Linked DNA regions of Arabidopsis thaliana. The protein of the gene in region 2 purifies or fractionates together with the protein of the main gene of each other region. This does not show direct contact. Each region holds a gene or a part of one and is shown on either strand. Other genes may lie near its edges.

The links. Proteins that work in one complex are often made in the same cells at the same time.
Region 1: the proteins of TRN1 (region 2) and emb2734 fractionate together in Arabidopsis thaliana (co-fractionation; one large-scale study listed by BioGRID). This does not show direct contact.

Annotation. Positions count from the first base shown.
Region 1 is NC_003076.8:6,699,310-6,703,069, forward strand, and holds the start of emb2734 (ARM repeat superfamily protein), read right to left. Parts: upstream 2,047-3,760; 5' UTR 1,939-2,046; coding exon 706-1,938; intron 551-705; coding exon 347-550; intron 271-346; coding exon 166-270; intron 53-165; coding exon 1-52.
Region 2 is NC_003071.7:7,352,180-7,355,939, reverse strand, and holds the start of TRN1 (transportin 1), read right to left. Parts: upstream 2,094-3,760; 5' UTR 2,002-2,093; coding exon 1,816-2,001; intron 1,034-1,815; coding exon 746-1,033; intron 574-745; coding exon 484-573; intron 356-483; coding exon 274-355; intron 199-273; coding exon 110-198; intron 1-109.

The sequences.
Region 1 (3,760 bases), on a different chromosome or scaffold from region 2:
CCACTGAAGCAAGAGCAGTTAAAGCTCCTTCTTGCACCATTTGTTTACCATTCTGTACGAAACACCATTATAATCCAAAGTTAATCATTTAAAATCAATAGAGTGCAAAATATTTGCTCTTTTTTAGCTATTTATCTTAAGAAATAATTTACACAATGGACTTACTTGTAGTAGCACAAGTAACTTGCTCACTACTCCGTCTAAATAAGGTGACAATATTTCAGGAGTACAATTTTCACTGAAGTTGAGTACTGCTGAAGCAGCATGAGCCTACATGAAAAGGTCACAAGGTACTGCTTTAGAAAGTGTTAGAAGATTATATTCACAGAGAAACAGGGGATCTTACCTGCACTCGTGGATTCTGGAAATCATCCATAGCAGCAGCAAGTGCGGGGAGCACTCTCTCATGATGTTGGTTTTGCAAATCTGGACCCAAATCTGTAGACAACTGTCCAATCGCATTTATAGCAGCCCACCTTACGCGAGGATGAGGACTTTGAAACTGGCTCAAAACCATTGACACCACTTGGTCTAGATTTTTTATCATCACCTACATCAAAGTTCAAGATATTCACTATCAGATTGAAAACCACAAAGATAAATCAACTCAGAATCAATCATTATTTAACATCCAATTGAAAGTAAAAACAATGAAACAATTAAGGAAAAAGTTCATTAAGACATGTTATTCACTAAAAATTATACCTTTGAACAACCTTCAGCAATCTGAGCAAGTGCAATCAAAGAAGCATGATGTTTCTGCCACTCAGAGGCAGCCAAGTAAGCAGAAAACTGCTGATATGCAACCGGAACAATGGTGTTTCCTCCCAGAGAAATTGCTAACCGATCCAAACACTCTTGACCCATGCTGTAGTTGCTTGTCTCGCCAGCATCTTCATCCTCAGTCTCAGCGCTGTACCAAGCAGGATCGTCCTCAATATCCTCGAGCATCTTCATAAGAACAGCAAACAACCTGTCAATAAACTGAGGAAGCTTCCTGACCATACCAGGGGCACGCTCACGCGCCTCAGCCAGAGTAACCAAAAACTCAATCGCAAGATGACGTGTACTCTCCTCGAGGGAATCAGCCTCTGCAATCTGAAGCATCGAACCAACTATGTCAACAAGTTGCCGTCTAAGGAACCGTGGCTCGGTACCAGCCAATTCAATCAAAAGCTCAAGTGCCTCCTGTGCAGTTGCTTCATTCCCATTGTTCAGAGATTCGGTCAACGTCCTGATCATCGCAGGCAAAACATCTTGGAATCTATCTCTCTCCGTTGAGTTGGCCAGACACTGAACGAAACTAATCACGGCGTTGAGAGCGGCGATTTTAACATCGGAGCTAGCAGAATTACTACTCAAGCACTGAAGAAACACGCCATGGAGTTCCTTGATGTGAGGGGTAAGAGTCTCCCCAACGTACTGCGACAATTGAGCCAAGATTAAAAACGCCGATTCCTGCAATTTAGGGGTAACAGAAGTAACACACTGGAAAACAAACGGAAGCAACTCCGGCCATCCATTCTCCGGTAAAATCCCGGATGCAAGTTCAGAGACTGTATCGCAAATCTTCTTAGAGATCGATTTAGCCTCCTCATGTTGAATACAATACAACATCGAAGATTTGAGGGAAGATTGAGTGGAGAGGGAGAGACGAGGCCATAGATAAGCATCGTCGCGTGTTAACAACTTCCGGAGAAGGACGGCGGCCATAGCACGACCTTCGGGATGAGGAGAAAGCTGAAGAAGATGAGCAAGCTTCAAAGAGAGGGTATCGGGATTGCTTTGTTTAGCGAGATTGAAAAGAGACTCGGCGGAGGAACGTTGCTCGTTGGAAGAAGACATGAGGTGAGAGATTAGCGTCTCGAAGGGCGCGGAATCGGAGCCGAGAACCATCGCGAGTTGCGCTTGCTGAAGCTGATTCGCCTCGGAAGCCATGGGGGATGGTGGCGGCGGGAAAAACTAGGGTTAAAAAGTGGCTAAAGCTAAGAGGAGGAATGAGGAAGGTCCGAAGGTAGCGAAGGAGGGATGAGGTTGTGAAGGGATAATTATATATTTTATTTTTATTTCCATTTATTTTCCAACTATTATGTATTCGTAATTTGGGGTGGTGTGGGGCCGCCGTGGTGTAAATTAAATTAAGGAAAAATAAAAATTAAAGCAAAGCAATGATAATGTCATTAGCTGTATTTTCAAGGGTGGATTGATAAATTGATCACCAATACGTGTTTCCTTTTTTTTTTATAAATTAAAGTTTCTATTATTTCCTAGGTATAACTATTTAAGAATATAAATTTTTGATTATTATCTTATATTATTTTCTTTATTAAAAAAGGTAAATAATAGGTGGCATTAGCTTATATATTTTTCTAATGACAGAATCTCATAATTTCACATACCTAGGGTATATATTAATATATTTATAAATAAGTACGTAAAAGTAAAAAATATACTATAGTTATAAATTATCGTAATATATTTAATACGCGGATTTAATATGAATATATGATTTATTAATATCTAATTTTTATATCAAAAATGTTATTGAATTAATGTATTTGAAACGAGTGAATAACGTATTGGTTAATATTGATTTAAAATTAGCGAATATATATAAACTAGATTTTAACCCGCGGTATACTGCAGAAACAATTTATTTTTTAAAGTTAGTATACATAAAAGTTTGCAAATTGTATATATCTATAAAATATTTTTATTTTATAATTATAATTGTTATTAAGTAACGTCCTGCCAAACCCGTCCCGCCAACCCGTCCCGTAAAAAAACCATTTATTTTATTAATATTGATCTTATTTATGATATGTTTATGAATTATTGTCTAAATATTTTGTAATTTTGTAGTAATTAAATGCTATCAAATATCTCTATGGTTTGATGATATTAAATATTTTGGAAGTTTTATTTTAGTAACTAATGGTGTAGTTAATGTTGAGTGATTTAAGAAAGATTGTTAAATGTCAAATATTTAATTCGAAGTTTTTATTCTAATTATCAAAAACAAACATTAAAATCTAGTGGCAACCATTGTAACTAAGTCCCAACTACACGATTTATTTCACAAAATGGCTGCAAAAATGTATATATAGATATATAATTTTTAAAACTATGTGAATTTTATATTTTTTGAAAAAACTCTTTATTATATACTTTCACACATTACTATTTTGTATTTAATATTAAGTAAAGAAAAAAAAGCATAATCCTATTAGGTCAGATTGGGTTGGCCTTGGGTACAATTACTAAATGGCCACATGCTTGTTTAGTAATGGAAAAGACATAGATGAAAGTGTGTTTCAAGATTTTTCCTTTGAATTTTGTGGAGGATTTGGAAAATAGAGATTGACCTTTGCTTTTATTTAATGATCAGTTTTATGGCATGAGAGTGTTGGAAAAAAAAACACTATATTTGATGGACAAGAATGAAAGTAAACAGAAAGACTGAACTACCTAAGACGTTCTGAACAAATCATGTAAAACTTTAATGGGCTAAGGCTAACATCCCAAGCTTTGGAACATACTACATACTACAACCTACCTAGGTCAACAAAGTATGAAAGTAATCAGAAATGGTCTTCACCTTCACCATCTTTTAGCGTTTTAAAGGATGAAAAGCGAGTTTATGAAATGGAATGGAACAAAAGCATATCTAAAATTAAGAATCATTGTAGGTAGAGGCCGAAACTCCTGCAATGACATAGTGATTCTTAGATGGTACTCGTAATTGGTTAACACCAATTTT
Region 2 (3,760 bases):
TGATTGAATCATATGTCATCTAAAGAAAAAATTCTTCAACACGAAATCACTCTCTCCTGTACTGACAAAAATAAGAAACAATTGACAGAAGCTTAAATAAGAGGCATACCAATTTTCTGACTTCTGGTACAGGATCATTGGCTAGGACAAACAACCCCTGAAGGTACTTATCCAATGAATTGTACAAAGCCTGCCAAACTCAGATTGTTACCATTTACGGTCCTTAATAACATATAAAACAAAAACGAAGCTTACAAGTAGTCTTCGCAATACTTACAGCAGGCATTATAATGATATACTGGTTCACAGAACCCAGGGCAAGCTTCCTCAGTGAAGCATGGGGTGACTGAAAAAACTGCTCAAAAAAAGAGAGGTAATCAATCTTAACGCAACCAATCCAACAGGACGAAAGAAATCAAACTAGAACCTAAACAAGTGCTACAACCGAGTTCCAAAATCTGTGTAGGAATAAGAGATGTTTACCTGTAATAGCCTAGGCAGGAAAATGTTGATAGGGCGTTCTGCTAAGCCAGGCACTTCTGTATCCAAGACATGCGGAATATCCTCACAAATCTGATTGATAAGAATACGACATGTAGATATTAGAAAAACTTTGAAAAAAACTCCAAATATATCATCAAAACCAACAATCACAACTTTGGATTACACAAGCTTATGGTTCATAAATCAAAGGTTCAACGAAAAGAGCAAGAAACAGAAAAGAGAACACATAGCTGCTACATACCTTTGACAATGCATCCATAGCACCATCCATGTGATTAAGGTCATTACTGTCTAAACAAGTAACAAGAGCTGGCAAAAGCTCATGCCATCCAGAAACTCCCTCAATATTAACAATAACACTGATGATAGTTCCAACTGTAGTCCGTATATTCCTGTCCGCTGCTCCCAGACAAGGCAGTAACTCTGACTTGATATATTTTTGGTTTTCTTGAGTCATGGATGGATAAGCACCCCTCAAATTATTTTTCAAAAGCAATCCAGCAGCTTGACGAACCTCAACAGACTTTCCCTGATCATTGTACAAGCACACATCAGCAATTTAACAAACAGACATAAATGCATAAAACCTAATCAAACAACAGCAATATGAAAAACTCCAGGTTGTTCTTGCCTAGGATCTGCAAATAGACTATGTAGATCCAACTAAATTGAAATAAATATGAGTTCTCAAGATAGAAAGACACTATCCACTAAAAATCACACAACACTTTTTGTTATTTGGATGCAAGTAAACTTCAAGTCAATTGAATCACAAAGGTCATACTATTGACAAAGAAGAATTATTCAGAAGGAGACATAGACGAATGTTGAGTGAATTAAGATATAAATGCATAAAACCTAATCAAACAGCAACAGCAACATAAAAACTCAAGGCTAGTTCTTGCCAATGCAAATAAATATGAGTTATCAAGTGAAGAAGACACAATCCACAAATTCTACACAACATTTATGTTATTTGGATACAAGTAAACTTCAAGTCAATTGAATCAAAAAGCTCATACAACAGAAACATCAACTATTGACATAGACAAATATGATCAAAAGGAGATATATCCATCCATTAAGGTACAGAACAGAGAAACTCATAACGAGAGAAGCAATGTTCTAAAGTCTGAGAATCTTAAGCAATTCAAAGGAAACGTAGATTCAACTAAAGCTAAGCAACAAAGAGAATCCGATAAGCAAACGAAAATTCAACGATCCGAACTCATTCGACAAATAGATTGAGTCAATACGGAGAAGAAAAAAAATCTCAGGAAGCGAAGAGAGAGTAGAGAAAAGTTCCAAAACCTCAGCGCGAACGAGGATGAAGACGAGATAGTTGTTGAAATCAGGAAACTGAGAGAAGTGTTGAAGCTGCTTCCAAATCTGAGACTTGTCAACGACGGAGGAAGGAGAAATCTGTTGTTCGAGAAGAGAACAGATCTCAGCGAGACCATCGTCTCGGGGTTGCCAGACCACCGCCGTCGCCGCCATGATTGTTGTGGCAAAAAGGTAAATATGACTCGTGTGAGAGGGCAAAAGAATATGATTCTTTGGACAAAAAAAAACGCACAGCAAAAAAGTTTGGAAAAGACAGGGACGACGACGAAGAAGAAGAGAATGGAGAGACGCTACTAAGTTGGGTTTTGTTGGGTTTTTTGTTCTGTTCAAGTTTTCTCTTATGGGCTTTTTATGAGTTTATCTATTTTCTTTTAAAGCTGTTAATTAAAAGAGAGAGTTTGCAAAATAGTAACTTCTTCTTGTTTTTGTAAATTTCATTTGTCTCCTAAATATTCTTTTTTTTTGTCAACCATTAGCTTGAAAAAATAGAGAAAATATTAATTAATGTTGTCCAAAGAATATAGGAGAAAAATAAAATTTAGTCTATAAATGTAGTTAATATGAAAACCTGAGTTGTCCCATAAAAAAAATATGTTTTTTTGTAGAGTTTATGTTTTAAGAAATAGAATTTCTTGGATTACGAATCTAGAATTATCAAAGCATTGGCTTGTAAACACAATTTATATACTAAAATTCATATGTTCATTTGGATCGGTCATTTTTAAAAAATTAATAATATATTTTTGTTTATAACTTTTAAAAATTAATTATATTGCATAAATTAGTATTTGATTTGTTTAAAGCCTTGATGTTTATCAGAAAAAGAAATTATTTAGGGATATTAACCATTATTTATGGGATGAGCCTTCTATATACAAGAAAGGCGTATATGGTTTATTCAGAAGATGCATAGTTGAAGAAAAAGTCCAAGGAGTCCTAGAACATTGACATGGCTCTGCTTATGAAGGACATTTTGCAACCTTCAAAACTGTTCAGAAGATACTGCAAGTTGGGCTCTAATGGCCAACCATGTTCAAGAATGTTCATAAGTTTATAGCCGAAGGATAAGAAATATCACCAGAAAAAATGAGATGCCAAAGAATCCTATACTCGAGTTTGAGATGTTTGATGTCTGGGGGATTGACTTCATGGAACTTTTAACCCATCTTCTTAGGGAAATAAGTATATCTTGGTCGTCGTAGCCTATGTCTCCAAGTGGATTGAAATAGTTGCAAGTCCAACCAATGATTCTAAGGTAGTTTTGAAACTATTCAAGAGTATCATATTCCCCATCTTCGGTATACCAAGAGTGGTTATGGAGGATCTCACTTCATGAACAAGATGTTTGAGAACTTGCTAAAGAAGTATGGAGTGCAGCATAAGGTTGCGACAGCCTACCATCTCTAGACTAGTGGTCAAGGTGAAGTCAGCAACAAACAGATAAAAACTATCTTGAATAGAATGGTTGGAACTTCAAGAATATACTGGTCCACCAAACTCGATGACACTCTACAGACTTATAGAACAGCCTTCAAAACTCTAATAGGAGGAAATAAAAAAATAGAAAAAAATTAATATGATGTTAAGTCCAACAAAAAAAAATAGGAGAAAAAACATAAAGTCGTCTATAAATGTACTCAATATGAAAACTTGAGTTGTCTTATCAAAAAATAATTTTTATTGTATAGTTTATGTTTTAAGAAATAGAATTGCTTGGATCACGAATCTAGATTTATGAAAGCATTGGCTTGTAAACATAATTTATAAAATAAAATTCATATGTTTATTTTGATCAATCATTCTTTAAGAAAAATGTATTTTCATTTTTAATAATTTATTTAAATTAATTAGATTGCAAAATTAGTATTTGGCTTGTTTATAACTTATCCAAACCCTTGAAATTCAGGACGCC